Arabidopsis thaliana: one gene and its partners. The protein of the gene in region 3 interacts with the protein of the main gene of each other region in a pairwise test. Each region holds a gene or a part of one and is shown on either strand. Other genes may lie near its edges.

Evidence for each region. Proteins that work in one complex are often made in the same cells at the same time.
Region 1: the proteins of RVE2 (region 3) and BBX30 interact in a two-hybrid assay, tested with the Arabidopsis thaliana proteins (one large-scale study listed by BioGRID).
Region 2: the proteins of RVE2 (region 3) and NAC066 interact in a two-hybrid assay, tested with the Arabidopsis thaliana proteins (one large-scale study listed by BioGRID).

What each region holds. Positions count from the first base shown.
Region 1 is NC_003075.7:8,706,328-8,711,343, reverse strand, and holds BBX30 (B-box type zinc finger family protein), read right to left. Parts: upstream 2,504-5,016; 5' UTR 2,464-2,503; coding exon 2,110-2,463; 3' UTR 1,862-2,109; downstream 1-1,861. Other genes in the region: BBX9 (B-box type zinc finger protein with CCT domain-containing protein), read left to right, coding at 238-726, 813-1,195, 1,282-1,402; AT4G15245 (uncharacterized protein), read right to left, coding at 4,296-4,576, 4,638-4,830. UniProt on the Arabidopsis thaliana protein: Developmental regulator acting by forming heterodimeric complexes, that sequester CO and CO-like (COL) proteins into non-functional complexes. Engages CO and the transcriptional repressor TPL in a tripartite complex.
Region 2 is NC_003074.8:22,927,145-22,932,583, forward strand, and holds NAC066 (NAC domain protein 66), read right to left. Parts: upstream 3,313-5,439; 5' UTR 3,264-3,312; coding exon 3,092-3,263; intron 2,882-3,091; coding exon 2,049-2,881; 3' UTR 1,862-2,048; downstream 1-1,861. UniProt on the Arabidopsis thaliana protein: Transcription activator of genes involved in biosynthesis of secondary walls. Together with NST1, required for the secondary cell wall thickening of the anther endocethium, which is necessary for anther dehiscence.
Region 3 is NC_003076.8:14,749,999-14,756,174, reverse strand, and holds RVE2 (Homeodomain-like superfamily protein), read left to right. Parts: upstream 1-3,086; 5' UTR 3,087-3,202; coding exon 3,203-3,214; intron 3,215-3,674; coding exon 3,675-3,737; intron 3,738-3,826; coding exon 3,827-3,938; intron 3,939-4,069; coding exon 4,070-4,131; intron 4,132-4,216; coding exon 4,217-4,831; downstream 4,832-6,176. Other genes in the region: AT5G37250 (RING/U-box superfamily protein), read right to left, coding at 5,204-5,830. UniProt on the Arabidopsis thaliana protein: Positive regulator for cold-responsive gene expression and cold tolerance. Part of a regulatory feedback loop that controls a subset of the circadian outputs and modulates the central oscillator. Negatively self-regulates its own expression.

The sequences.
Region 1 (5,016 bases), on a different chromosome or scaffold from region 3:
ATCCACATTTTCTTAGTTTGTGAGTGTTTCTCTAACATTCAAACACAACCATGTATTAGTCACAGTCACAGTCACACATTAAAAAGATACATGAACCTATAATGAATCGTAATTTTGTTTGATCTCTGAATGTTCTGTTTTTGTCTCACGATCCTTCTATGCTATAGGATTTTAGGTGTGTGTAGCGATTGGGATTGAGAAATCGTTATTTCTTTGGAGTTTTGTCTTCGAAGAAGTATGGAGGCTCGATGTGACTTTTGTGGAACCGAAAAAGCATTAATCTACTGCAAATCTGATTCGGCTAAACTTTGTTTAAACTGTGACGTTAATGTACACTCAGCGAATCCTCTGTCTCAAAGACACACGCGATCTCTACTCTGCGAGAAATGTTCCTTACAACCCACGGCAGTACACTGTATGAACGAAAATGTTTCTCTTTGCCAAGGATGTCAGTGGACCGCTAGTAACTGCACTGGTTTAGGACACAGACTTCAGAGTCTGAACCCTTACTCTGATTGTCCTTCTCCATCAGATTTCGGCAAGATCTGGTCTTCAACTTTAGAACCTTCTGTCACAAGTTTGGTCTCTCCATTTTCTGATACCCTGCTCCAGGAATTAGACGATTGGAATGGTTCATCAACTTCCGTGGTTACACAAACTCAGAACCTTAAAGACTATTCTTCTTTCTTTCCTATGGAATCTAATCTTCCAAAAGTGATAGAAGAGGTGACGTGTTGTTTAAGTAATATATCAAAATGTTTCATTTATGATAAAGAAGAATGTTTTTCATTTATATTCCGTTCTATATGCAGGAATGTTCTGGTTTGGATCTATGCGAAGGGATAAACTTAGATGATGCGCCGTTGAATTTCAACGCAAGCAATGATATAATCGGATGTTCATCACTTGACAATACCAAATGTTACGAGTACGAGGATTCTTTTAAGGAAGAGAATAACATTGGCCTTCCTTCATTACTGCTTCCTACTTTATCCGGGAACGTTGTACCGAACATGTCACTTTCGATGTCTAACCTCACAGGAGAAAGCAATGCGACTGATTACCAAGATTGCGGAATTTCACCAGGGTTTCTCATAGGAGATTCGCCATGGGAATCGAATGTTGAAGTTAGTTTTAATCCAAAATTAAGGGATGAGGCTAAAAAGAGATACAAACAAAAGAAATCAAAGCGCATGTAAGTTTTTGAGACACATAATCAGAGTCATTATCATGCTTTTAAAACATAATCTCATTGATATTTGTGGTACCAATTTCTTCTAGGTTTGGGAAGCAAATAAGATATGCATCACGCAAAGCCAGAGCTGATACGAGAAAACGGGTCAAAGGGAGATTTGTAAAATCTGGAGAAACTTTTGAGTATGATCCGTCACTGGTGATGTGAACTAGTGAATCTTCACTGCGGAACTAAAGAATAATCTGACTCCATCCACGGGATTAACAGTTTCTTGTCGGAGAAGTAACAAAAAAAAAACATAAAATTCTCTTCTTGAGAAAGTATACAAGATCAAACTACAAAGACTTAAAATCATCGCAAAGGTGATTCCAAAATGGAGATTAAAAAAAAAAAAAACTGAAAGTTGCTCTTTTTACTAGAGAATTTCCACTGTTTTTTGATGCAACCACAAAACCTACCGGTCATACAGGCATTAATTAGGCATACAGCTACGAGACGATCAGACAAAATCAGAAACCAAAAAACAAAACAAGAGTCGTTGACTCTTTCCTACTTATAGCTCCTTAATCTCAATTACATGTTAATCATAGAAAAATATATCTTCTTTGTGTTTTGGACCACTCTCCACCTTCCATTTCACTTGATTGTAATTTGTAACGTTGTATTGTTTTCCTAGTTAAGAAAAATAAAGCCAAAGAATAAAGGCAGATTATGTTTGCCATAGGAAGATTTGTTCTTGATTTCTTATAGCTTACTATTGGGACCGCATTATTTTACTATTAAATCAATATGTTTTCTAGGTGTTCATATATTACTTTTAAGCTTTAGAATGAAAATATACATTCTTAGAACATTTCCAGAGAAAAAACCCTACCAATATTTAATCTTAATTACGCGAAAAACAAAACATAAAATCAGAGAAACACAAAGGGAATTTTGTGATCACTACTATGTTCTTCAATCCTTGCTATCATCCTTATCTCCGGTAAAACAACATTAAAATTATCACCGACAAGACATCGACGAGTTAGCTTCCGACAGGTCGTGCAGATCACGCGCCGGAGATGTCTCCGAGCTAGAAAATTAGCAGAATGGACCCATCGATCGCATTTCCTACAAAGGAAAGCTGCGTCTGCCTCACAATACACGGTGGCGTTCTCGCCGCAAAGCTCACAGCTTACCGGAGCTTTGTGACTCTCCGTGCATAGTCTTTGGCATCCTCCATTGTCGCTTCTTCTCTCTTCTTCTTTCTCAAACCCTCTACACATCTTTACTCTTTCTTTGTCTCTCTTGTGTTCAAGATTTAGGTTTATATAGGAATGATTGTTATTTAAAGCAAATGGATATTATGAAATTGTCATTAAACTGGTTGTACACGTGGAAAAATATTGACCTATTGGTTTGATGTGAGTGTCCCTAGAGGACCAAATTGTCAATAATTTAGTTATTTTCCCTCCACCAGACGATCTCTCGTCCTCATGTTTGATACACAAGTTTCGAGTAGTTGACTAGTATGACTCGCTCATTGTCACATATCACAATCACGTTCTAGAATGAATCATGAATCATAGCATTTTTGTGGTCTATAAAAAGGGAGTATATAATAATAGTATATGAATTTATTAGTGATTATTCATTAAACTACTGTGCAAGTTTTTGGTTTGTTTTAAAAAGATAATATATGAACGAGAAATTGTGTAACATACTATCATTTGTTTTCAATCATGTTTTCACTTAGATTATAATATTTCTTTTTTTTTTAAAACTATTTCTGTTCGTTTTTATAAATTTATGAGCAGTCATAACATCTACCAAAGAAATGTACCTTTTTCTTAATCTGAATTGATACAAGAGTCAAGAAAATCTACGAGTGTGGAATGAAGCGTTGAAGAAGATGAAGAAAGAGAGATACATTCAATTTAATGTAATTTAGGTGACTCATGATGGCCATGGGTGCAGTGCAGCCAATTACTCTAAATTTTACTATTAACTAGTTACTCGTTTAGTCTAGAAAAATTCATCGCCGAAGAAGTGGTTAGAGAATCAATGTCCCACTGATTACAATTATTAAAGATTATGTGACTATGTGAGCATTCAGAAATATATTGAATATCGGGTCGGGACAGTCTCTACGTTATTGGGTGTCTTCGTGTCATTGTGTGTGTGGTGGTTAACTATTTTAACTTTATATTTTATTACGAGTTTGCTCGCAAAAGGAAAAAAAAAGGAACTTCACTTGCATGGTTCATGATTAAAGTAATTTCTTTTAACGATTAAAATAATTAATTTCTTATTTTCTAGGAGACGTACATCCTCCGAAACTGTCAAAGTTGAATATCCCCTAATGGTTGCAGCGGTTAATGCCGTCAAATCTCTTTGTAGACTGAGCTGAATTTTTATTTACTATTTATAAATTGTGTATTGTAAGCAGAGATTTTTTTCTTAAAAAGTTTGTTGTGAACTAGCTACGAACCGCTTTAACATACAAATAGAGTTGGTCTGCGACGCGACAGTTTATTGTCTGCAGTAAAAATAGAACATACTAAACCGTTGATGAATATGTCCATCTCGACTATTATCACCATTTAAACTCGAAATGGTAACGTATACATAACAAATTTATGATATACTGATAAAATTATCGTTGATAATTAGTTGGTAAACACTTAGTTAATTCATCGTTAATTTAATGACGTTTAAATGATATATTTAATGATGATTCGACCAAATTTATCATCAGAATGACCAAAAAATTTCACGAATAAAAACTTTATGCGTTTCACAGTTTATGTTTTAGGTTTTGAATGAATGCAATGAAAAAAGTGAACTAAACCGCTAACGAAACATATCACTTTATTTTTGAAGCAGACAACAAACAACCACAGACCAAGTTTTTTTATATGTAAAAGCAGTACATAGTTAGTCCGATGCAGACTTGTTCTATTTTCTCAATCCATACTACTACGGATTATAGCTTATGAATGGTAAACAAAAAACGGTTTAAATCGTAAAAGGATTTGTCCGTCCTAACCACCGCAACTATTCGAAACTTCTCACTCTTTGAATTCTAATTTTAACTAATTAACCCTTAACTGTTAAATTACATTCGAGAAATATTCTTTATAGGTTCTATACTTCCAATATAGTTAGCTAATATCATCAAAAGAAGAAGTCGACGTGCGTGGCATCCACTCGCGGACGACTTTTCCTTCAACCCTTTACCTTTCGCAAAACCTAGATCTACGCCGCCTTTGTTTCTCCGGTCATCGGTGCTCTTCGCCGTGACCGGGAGAGGCCCCCCAGTGGCTCCACTCAGTGGTTTGGCTTCCTTCTCGTCGGCGATTTGACGAGTTAGCGTTTCGGATCTAGAGATTCTGCGATCTGTGCGCTTTACTCCCGCTTAGTTTTGGAAGTCGTTTGTGTCCCTGTCTCCTCGCATTACTCCGGTTTGTTTGGAGGCTCTGTTTGTGTGTTGCTGTTTTAGGTGTAGCTTGTAGTGCTGAGGTCTCAGCTCCGGCGATTCTGATCCTCTCTTTTAGTTTGCACCGGGGAAGTTGGTCTCTTTTTGGTGCTTTGTGTTGTGGCTGGTTGTTAGAGCTGGCTTCTCTAGCTGCTTGCAAGCTTCCTCTTTCCATTTCCCAAGCCAAAGGTGGTTACTTTGTTTGTGGACTGGTTTTAGTCCGAGACTAGTTTTGCCTCTGTAGGTTCTGGTGAGTTTCGTCTAGGATGGATTTGAGGGCTACGCTTGACCATGGGTTTGTGGACGGCCCGTCGCTGCCTATACCATCTCCGTGCATTTCCATGGCATGTCTCTCTTGAGT
Region 2 (5,439 bases), on a different chromosome or scaffold from region 3:
AACACAAATACATAACTATGTTAATATAATTTTTGCGAGTACTGTAGTTTTTACCCCATTTTAAAAGAATCATTTTGATTATTATTTATGTGTGATATCTCTGTAACAAAGAGATACTATGGTGTTCTTTATATCAAAGTAGAAAAGTTAAAAAGTAAACGATATACACATTCATTAGTTGTTTGAACTCTGGAGATTCCCCCAAATTCCCGTAAGCAAAGGAGTACGAATACGAATCCACTCAAGCCAAACGATCATCAGTCATCAATCACATGTAATAAGTGGCCTGGATTCATTTGTCGGTCGAGTGTGTCGCTATTAGTGGAAAGCCTTTATTAATTTGTTAAATAATGCTTATAACAATAATTAGCATACCTTTTTTATAAATAATATGCCCTTTCTTATTCCTGTGTTTATTTTTTTAATTCTTTTTTACATTAGTAGTCAGTGAAAGATTACTTGAAACTAATCCATAAAGGGCACAAAATTAGCAATATATACTATATGTTTCGTGTGTTAAATCATACGGCTTTTTGTGAAGTCGGAATTTCCATTGTGTTGTTTACTTCATCAAACAGTTTACGTGAGAGAAGAGGACGTGATGATGCGAGAAAATTATACGAAAATCAAAGTATATTTACATATTCAAGCCGTACCACAACCGAACATTAATTAGTACTTTAAAATCCTATACCGTATATTATATTTGTCAATTCCTAATAAGGGAATAACAAAGAGAAAAAAACAAGGTCTCACAAATTTAAAATTCACGAATTAAGACATCGAGTGGACCTACACTCACAGTCCATTTGATGTCGTTATTGACCTATTAATAAAATGGGCCTGGCCCAATATACTTGTGGTACAATTAATACCAAGCAGAACTCACATGTAACAGCCCACACATTTTTGATATTTCCAATATTTTTTATTAAGGTTTAACCCAAAAAATAAAAAATAAATAACAGTGAGGATATTTGAGAAATCCTCCATTTTGCATCAGCTAAGGTCAAAGAGAAAAGAGAAAAATTAATGCCTCGAATTCAAGTTTCATGTAATTGTTGCGTTTAGTATTTACAACATGATCAATATCAATACATCATTATAATAAATCGAATCTAATTTCAGAAAGCTAAAGTGGAAAATGAAAGGTCAAAACGTTACAGTTATGGAGTCTGTTACTAATATTATCACATGATAAAAAGAAAGATGAGAATATTTGAATCCTCCATTTTTCTTCAAAAGTAAGATTCCGCACCTTGAAAGAGATTATTCAACAATAAGAACGAATACTGTTTGATTAAATGCTATAATTGAAAAATAATGAGTGTGATTAGCTTTGATGGGTAGGTTAATTAGCTACTATTATTAAGCACTTGGTGCATCTTAATCCAAGTTTGTTGGGGTGATTAATTGGGTAATTAATCTATTCCTAATGATGAATGAAGCAAACTATTCAACATCAAACTAAGCATTTACCAACTAAATATCTCAAGTTTCTAGTAAATAAAACTTCAGTTTAATTGAGAGTAAAATGAGAAACTTTGAATAATTAACGTAATGGAAATCATCTGTTCCTAAAGTTAATTTGTCGACGAATTAATTATCATTTTGGTCTTTTGTCTCTCTTGAAATCATAATCAACTTTTGGTCAAAATCCTTTTTTCATATAATTGTAATTAGAAAACACCCGGCGATGCATGTGACAGACTATGATTTCTTACAGTAGAAAATGTAATTGCCTTTTTGTTCATCGAATGGCAATTAAGTTTCAAAAAGACAAAAACTAATATTCTTGATCCAAAGAAATTCAACTATGCAACCAATTCTTTTCTATAAAGTTAATCATGATATAAAATGTACACAGATATAGAGAACTTTTATTTTCTGTAATGATATCACATAACTACGTACTGTAATTATCACAATCTGACCATTTATACCGTAAAAGTTTCAACAACTATATATATGGTATGATGATTATTATATCTTTCTACACAATGTTTTGGTATGTCACTCACTTAGTCACTTCCTCTCTTCCATTTCCGTTATCCACTACCGTTCAACAAGTGGCATGTCGTTCTCGCGAAATCTGCCTCGTTCCATAAATCAATCTCCGGTATATAGTAATCTGGTGTTAAACCGGTATTACAACCGGACCGGTTCAGTCCATGATACGGTGATTGTGAAGTCTCATTAACGGCTGGTATTGAATACGAGTTGGGCCCATTTAACTGTGAGGCAACGAGCCGATCCAAAGCGGCCCAGCTAGTGATGAAGCTGGGATCCATAACTTTGCTGACGTGGCAGTTGTTGACTTGGTCGTCGATTAACCACTGATAACTCGTGATGGTGGTGTTGTTATGGCATTCGAGGTTAGGGAGTTTTAAGAAAGGGTCTAAAACTATCTCTCCTTTACAAGATTGCCCCATAACTTCGAGAAGTTGCTCGATAGTCTCCTCATTGAACGACGGCGTTTTCACCGAACTCGCCGGGCTACTACTAATCATGTTTTTGCAAAGGTTATTTTTCTTGAAAACACGACACACCACCCATCCTTCGTCACTTCCTATGACATCACACGTTTCTACGTTGACGTCATGATCGCCACACGAGGAGATTAATACACTCTCGTCGAGTCTATATTCGTGCATGATCCAATCGGATTTCTGACCATGAGGGGCTCGACCTTTGTAGAAGACAAGCGTCTTTCGCATCCCGATTCTATCACCATTGGTATATATGGTCTTGTCACGTCCCGTCGCTTTCCAAAATCCGACCGTGGTGGCTCTGTTGGTTCTAGTCCCGGTGGGATACTTCTTGTCCTTATGGCTATAAAAGTACCAATCGTTTTGCGGCGTCGTTCCAATCTTACACATCTCTACATAGAAAAAACAAGAGTTGTGTTAAGTTTTGACTGAATTTTGTTACTGCAAATTTTATTATCACAAAAAGTATATATTACTCTGCAAAATTTCCTGAATTCAGAGCTTTAGTTCTTGACTCAACACATGCATTAAAAAACTAATTTAATTAATATATACAAGCCCTATTAATACGTTTCATCAAGAATAAAAGATAAATGATGAACCTTGAATATCCCAAGGCTCGAGCTTGTTGAGATCAATGTCAGGAATAACATCGAGATCGATCTTGATGTTAGAGATTTTCTTGCGGAGGTAATACTTCAAGAGCTCTTCCTCGGTTGGGTGAAACCTAAAGCCAGGAGGTACTTGTGACTGTCCGTTTACTGATATGTTCATTGCTAAAGATAGAAAAAGGAGAAGAAAATAGAACGAGTTTATAACTAACCAAAGTATGTCTATATATATGTGTATATTTTTTACATCAACTCTGCAAAAAAATAAATAATAGTACATGCATGAGAAAATGCATGTGTTCTTTTGCTCTCATATTTTTAATTCCTTTGTTAAGTTTTCTTTTTAACAGTGGAGTATTATTTTTCCGAATATTTGATGTTTTCATTATAAGTTCGCATGAGCCGCCACTTACAATTAAACATATGAGCCTCTAAGAGCTTGTTTTAATAATTTGAAAATGTCTGTTTTATACTCATAGTGAATGCACTTCTCGAAAAATTACTCCCTATGAGTTTTTACTTAATTCTTAGTTCATACCAAGTATATCCAGCCAAAACAAAAAAAAAAAAGTATATCGATCAAGCTTCTTCGGCCTTTGGTTTTGCCGACTTTTCGCTCTACTAATTGCCTAGATTAGCATGTTAGTTTTGTTTTGTTTTTGCTTTTATCCAGAAATCTCTCGTAATGGTTGATTCGTCATGAGTTCACCTAGTATTTAAAAATCTATCTATTTTTCTGCATGATTCAGTATCTCTTTAACAAAGAAAAAAAATATGATTCAGTAAATTAGATCCGTTATAAATACAATGTTGCAATATTTCATCTAATAAAAGTTATAGTAATGTCTCTCTTTTTTTTTTATTTTTTTTTGGGTCAAATATACTAATGGTCTCTTTATTAAACATCGAAATTATTTGCTCTTTTTGTCCGGTGAAATTGTTTATGGCAATTTCGGAATAGTGCGTGAGAGAGAGCGGTGGGACCATGCACGTAGCTATTGGGTAAAAATATGGTCCACGCGGGATCCACATATCAACTATAATGTAGGAAGCAAGCCCACATCGCTCCGATGACCCTCGACCTTAAAAATCTCTATGGACAAGACATTCCTCATTTTATTTTTATTTTATATAGAAACGAATAGTGTTAACAAAAAAAGTGAATGAAGGGTGATGGCAACAAAAAATGTATGTGATGTGATGAAGAAAGACTTTATACATTATTGTGTTAAATACGACTTTAAAGCTCGTAGCTTGTTCTTGTTGAAGGTGATGCGAAGATAATGATATACTACATGATAATCCACAACCTCCTTAGAAGATGGAGAGAAAGAAAGAGATTAAGATCTGATTCAAGAAGCGTTTATCAAATATATGTGAAGTTAACATTGCAACGAATGTCTAAGATTCGAATATTGTGCATGTGGTTCACTCGAACTAATCATAAAGTTAACCTATCTGGTATTCAGGAAACGACGGTGGATTCGATTCATCCAAATTAAAATTTTAAATTATTGTATTAATTTAAACTTGAATGACGGCATGAATCTAGATGAACAGTTGTTTACAACTGTAAGCGAGGAGGTATCTACGTATGTTGTAGATTTTGTGGGGGCCTATTTACAAAAGGTTATTTTCTGAATTTCCTTTTTCTTACACATGGTTTTGAGATTATAATAGATTAATACGCAAGGGCCGTTCAAATTTGCCATGTGCTATAGGATAACATTGTTAATAAAAAATTAAATCATGAGATTAAAATTTTGAGTTAATGAATATTCTGAAATGTCTTTTTCATTTTTCTAACATGGTTCTGAGTTTATAGCAGAGTAATATATAATCTGATTAAAACGAACGTTGTTGCGGCACGGAGCTATGATAAATTGATGATAATTAGTGACAAAAAACTAAAATGATATAATTGAAGTATTACAAATCGTAATTTTTCTAGAAGATGAAGGAAGTTTGCATGGGAAGCAATCTTAATTTGAGGTGTTTCAAAATTTATTAAACCCTTAATGGTGAGACGTCATATAACTATATATATTAGCACTCGTGCTTGTCGGACTTATAACTTTAGCCTAATCTTAAACTGTTTCTGGCCAGCTTTGTGTCATTGGGCCTGAAATAAAAGAGTTTCTCCCTTTTGTTTTGCTCTTCTAGACTTTTGGCATTGAATAGGGAAGATTAAATAATCTCTAACTACGAGTCTACGACTTCATAAATTAATTGTTTCATGAGAGATAACAATGATATTTCAAATATATCTACGTTGATAAACTTATATAATCGTTCCAAGTCTTCAATGAATACGGAAATCAACATACTAATTTAAATGC
Region 3 (6,176 bases):
CTTGCACCGACTGTTCTTTATAGTAATCAAATAGTCGTCGGTTAATAATGAAAAAGTATATATTTCGATTTTTCTTTAAAAAAAGCAACAAAAATACATGAACCAAGAACTTCTTAGTGGCCACTACACCAGTATTTTACTGGTACAAGTATTTTTCTAAGAATATTATAGATTCGTAAGATCTACAAAAAAATGTAGCGATTGAAGAAAAAAAAAACATGAACTCGATAGCTTAAAACACCGAAAAAAAACGAGTGGGCAACAAATTTTTGGTAATAAAAAAATAATCGAGTGGCGTAGAATAACAAACCATCCATATCCCTATCCTTCTCTCTATTACCTAAACACAACGACACGTGTCTGACTTTTGGAACATCTCAGAGGACAACACTTTTGTGCTGACTAGGCAATAAAGTGCAAAACAAAAGTGTTGTTTTTTTTCTCCTCTTTCATTTTGAGACAGTTGTACCAAACAATTTCTAATTTGGATAAATGGTTTTTTTTTTCATTGAAGACTTCCAGATATTTATTTTACAATTTTTGTCCTTCACATAAAATACCTATTTAATTTTGTTTTGAAGTTGACGGCTACTGAAATTTAAATATCTCTTTCTTCTTTTTAAACAACGCTCGTGTATGTTTTTATTTAGCTACTCGCTTTCTTTGCCACATACTTGGGTCAAAAGAGAGCACTCCAAAAATATATGATCTGTCATTTGAAACCTAACTATTCCTGATAAGTCTAGGTTCATAGTCTAAAGTTCTTGGCCCTCATTTAGGTATAAATAGTCTAAATTTAAAGTATTTAAGCAAAAACAATACTGAGAAGAAAAAAAAAAAAAAAAAAAAAACTACGGTAAAATTTCTAGAAATGTTTAAGAAAAATCTAACTAAAATCAAAAGAATAGCGTATTAAAATACTAATTTTATTGGATTAACTTAATTTGATGAAAATGTCTCTTAATATTTATGGCGATATGTATGTTGGTTGGACTTTGAAATTGTTTTTATAGATTTAATAAGATGAACATTTTGTTCTTGCTTGAGAGTGGCTGGGTACACAATTTTTTTCACTTTGTTCATGCTAAAATTCAGTTTTGTCTTCTTATATTTACATCTAAGTTTATGTTTGATTATCTGAAACCCAAATTATCAAGTATTTTACGATTTTTTGAAATAAACGAAATCTGTTTATTTCCTTATTCAAATTTTATAAAATTTTGTAAGAGTGATTTGATTGAAAATGGACAACATTTGGAGACATTTTCAAAAAAAAATGTTATAAAAGGTTATTTTAAAATGCTTTCAAAAATATCAATATAATAAAGAGCGTGATTATATTTTAATTCAGAATTATTTAAGTGATCGAAAATATCATAAATTTTGTATAATTAGAGCATTTGTTCTGATATGCGACATATTTTACTATAATTTTATAGGAACCATATAAATTTAATTTTTTAACTAATTCCAGTTGCACATTTGTTTAGATGAAAATGATTTGATTGCTGCATGATATAATTTATTTACATTTAAGCATATATTTTATTCTATTTTGATGAATTGTGTGGTATTTTCGTACTTAAATTTTGATATATTGTATGTAATTGTACAACATACTCAATCATATGTTATTACTTCTAATAATTTGAATATGGACATACTCAGAAAGGTATCAAGGGCTCTTTCTCTAGCTATTGTTTCTCATATAATCTTTTCAAAATCATATATCATCACCAACTATACTCATCATTCTCGGGTACTATGAGCTCTAACTAGTGGAATGGTACTAGAACTTTGACACACCGTCTAGTTGAGATTATAGAAATTAAAGATTATGTTATATATAGTAGAAACAAAGTAGGCCAAATTCTTATAGAAAAGAATAAACAAAATTAATATAAAAGATAAATGAAAAAACGGTCTTGAATTATAAACAATTTGCTAGGTGTGATTCAACATTGTCTTTATTCAATACTTGTTGGGTCATAAACATTCAAATTGCATATTATTGTTACTCTAGTATTCAAATTGCATATTATGTTTTATCTAAACTAACTTATATATTTATTTTGATAAACATGTCATATGATATTAAACTTATTTTCAATTGATCATCTTCTAAGTTGATGCATTTTAGTATTTTATATTCAAATTTTGAGATCTTAGTATGTAATATATTTTCAGGTTTTTACTATTCATCAGTTTGATGATGCAAATATACATAGTACGAATAAAATGAGTGAAATTGTTTAATTATATGATCAGGAAGAAAAAATAATATTCCAAAATCCAAATTTTAGTGGGTAATTCTTAGCACAAAAACAAATTTTGTTTCCAAATATATCACATATTTTTCAATGTTCCACAAATAGCATTAATTGTTGAAATTTGTTATGAATAAGAATATGTTCTATAACATTATATGAATTAGAATTATCAATAGATAAAGTGTGTCAACTCAAATCGCTAAATTGTTGAAAACAATTTAATAATATATTCATTTAATATATTCTCATGTCAATATGATATGATTAGATCTATTTAGTGAGATCTTATTTAATTGTTAATTCTAATAAAACAAAAATAGTGATTATATTACTAATAAATAATATAATTGTTTAATCTTATTTTATGGAACTGTATTTCTCAACTTCAATTAAATACTGTACCTAAACCTAAAATTAAATATGCAATCAACTTGATTAATAAAAAACAACAAAATGGGGTAAGAAGTAAACAACGTTGTTAAACAAGACACGCGCTCACCAGTCGCGAGTTTGGCAATAATCATGAAATGAGCTTCTTTAAAAAAACTTTCTAGTAGATAAATTAAACAATTAAAAATCTCCGACAAGATTTAACAAAGAACAGATAATATCTTCTCCGCAAAGACAAAAGTGAAAGCGAAGAAGAAATCCTCCACGTGTCATTAGCATCTTTTAACCTGAGCCACATGATACTAGTTTCTCGAAACCCCTCTTTACGCTTTTTCACCCAAATTTTTATAAAAAGAAAAACATTATGCTTACGTGGCTTATCTTCTTCTTGCTCTTTTAAAGTAACCCCTTGACTCTGCTCCTTTCATAAACAACAACTCTCTCACCAATCTCAAAACAATTCTCTCTCTCTTTATTCTTCTTCTTCAGCTTCAGATTTCAGATCTTAAATCTTCAAGTCTTCTTCTTCTTCTTCTGCAACCATGGCTATGCAGGTTTGAGATCTATCTTCTTTGTTATTCTTTATGCAATCTTGATCTTGGTTTTGTTACTGTTGTTATGTTTCAAGTCTTGTGGAATCCAGACAGATTTAACCTAAACTTAGGTTTATGTCCGAGAGAAAATAGGTTATTTTGTTATCTAATTTCAAGTTTAATCTCTTTGTCTGAGAGAACTTGGAACTGAAGATTATTCGATTGTGGCAGGTTAAAAATTGTGTTAATAGACCAGGCGATTATGTGGGATATTATGGTCGGTTGTTTTAAAGAGAGATTACTTCTTTCTTAATGTATTGATCCGTATTAGGTAAGAACATGTCTCTAATCCCCTAATTATTACTGGTGGTCTACCTCTTCTAGTTGCGTATTAATTAGTTTTATTAGACTCTTTGTAACATTTAATTACTCTTACAATATATTAAGAGACTAATTGTGTTTTCTTACTTTGTGATTATAGGAACGTTGTGAGAGTTTATGTTCTGATGAACTTATATCTTCCTCAGATGCCTTTTACCTCAAGGTACTAATTTTGTTTCTTAATCTCTTGTTTACTCTTGATTGGTTTTGAACTTAAATATGAGGTTAATTTAGGGTTTGTTTTGTTTATAGACAAGAAAGCCTTATACCATCACTAAACAAAGAGAGAAATGGACAGAAGCAGAGCATGAGAAGTTTGTAGAAGCATTGAAACTCTATGGCAGAGCTTGGAGACGAATCGAAGGTGTGTGTGCTTATCTGACTTTAGAGAGTCTAATGCACATTCTAATCTAAGTTTGATGAAGATATAAGAAAACTACTTGGACCCTAGTAATGAGTAGAGATCTGACTTTTGTTGGTTCTTCTATGGAACAGAACATGTTGGAACAAAAACTGCAGTTCAGATTCGAAGCCATGCGCAGAAGTTCTTTACTAAGGTTTGCCTTCTTGCAGACCCTTATACATGAAAAAGTTTCAACCTCTTCGTGTTAAGCAAGGTCTAATTCAAGTTTTTCTTATTAGGTTGCTCGCGATTTTGGTGTTAGCTCTGAGTCCATTGAGATCCCGCCTCCAAGGCCAAAGAGAAAGCCGATGCATCCTTACCCTAGAAAGCTTGTGATTCCTGATGCAAAAGAGATGGTATACGCTGAACTAACCGGATCCAAGCTGATTCAGGATGAAGATAACCGATCTCCAACATCGGTTTTATCAGCTCATGGCTCAGATGGATTAGGTTCCATTGGTTCAAATTCACCTAACTCTTCTTCAGCTGAGTTATCATCTCACACAGAGGAATCATTGTCTCTAGAAGCAGAGACCAAACAGAGCCTTAAGCTCTTTGGAAAAACTTTTGTAGTTGGTGATTACAACTCTTCAATGAGTTGTGATGATTCTGAAGATGGCAAGAAGAAGCTATACTCAGAAACACAGTCTCTTCAATGTTCTTCTTCTACTTCAGAAAACGCTGAAACAGAAGTGGTAGTGTCGGAGTTCAAAAGAAGTGAGAGATCAGCTTTCTCTCAGTTAAAATCGTCGGTGACTGAGATGAACAACATGAGAGGGTTCATGCCTTACAAAAAGAGAGTAAAGGTGGAAGAAAACATTGACAATGTAAAATTATCATATCCTTTGTGGTGAAGTGTTCGTTTGTGTCAAGTCAGTTGTGTAAACTCTTTTGATCTCAACATCAGATTATGTGTATAATGTCAGAGTATTAGGGAAAGTTTTTTTGGATTAGATTCGTAAGATCACTCCAAAGTTTCGTGTCTTTCCATATAACCAGTTAGAAATTGAGATCCTTGTACTTAAACATTTTTATTTGATCAATCAAATCTTCTTGATAACTCTAAATTGTTGTACATAATAGTAGTCTCTATCAAGCATTTCATTCGAAAGGATTAACAAAAAAGATTAGGTTTACAAAAAATACATCAAAAGCAAATGTTTGAAACATAGAAACAAGTAATGCATCATAAACCCTAAGACTAGCTTCAAGTCTCTGTGACGGTTTCACTCTGTTTCAAGATCTTCCTCGTACGGTACTCGTCGACACAAAGGACACGACCTCTGACGCTTAAGCCACTCAAAGATACAATTTTGATGGAACAAATGGAAACAGTCAGGTAACAGAATGATGTTATCATCATGACTCTCCGAAAAGTCCTCCAAACAAATCGAACAAGTGGTTTCTTCTTCATCTCCCAAATCAGTCAATTCCATTGTTTGTTCCTCAAGCAATCTTTGAAACGTATCTGTCGACCTAACAGCAATAGACGAGAACATAACATCTCTTGTCACTTCCACGTATAAGGACACACTAAAAGGTTGGGGAATATGAGCACAATCCAAAACGATCCTTTCGCTCAACAATCGACAAAACTCAGTATGTGTGATGAACTCGTCAAGGTCTTGATAGATGTGATGTGAACTGAGACATGATGGTTTCAATTCGATTTTAGTCATAAGTGGAGCCGCGAACGTTCCCAAACACATTACGACACCGTTTTGATCTTCAGCTAACTCGTTGACCACATCTTGTAGATTGACGAACACGGTGTTTCTAAACCCTTGATCTTGTGGTAGGATCATTGCTGTTGTAGTAATCTTTACGGACACCAAATTACTATATGTATTCATGGTGGAAGAAGAAGAAGAAAAAGAAGATTCAAAGCCTAACTTTTGATATGAAGAGATAAGATTGTGAAATCAAAGAGAAGAGATCGATGAAATTGACTTAAAGTGAGGCTGAGTGAATTAATATATATATAGAGAGATATTTTACGTTTCGACGCTTCAGTTGGAAAAAAGGAAATCATAAACAAATTTGTTGACGAAAAAGGAAATTAAGGAAAGGAAAACTTTGACCAAAAAAGAAAAGAAAAGGAAAACATGAATTTAGTAAAAATAAAAATAAAAAGGAAACAATCAGTTTTTTGATAAAAAGGAAATTTAGATTAACAAAACGCGTCAAATTTTTTATTTA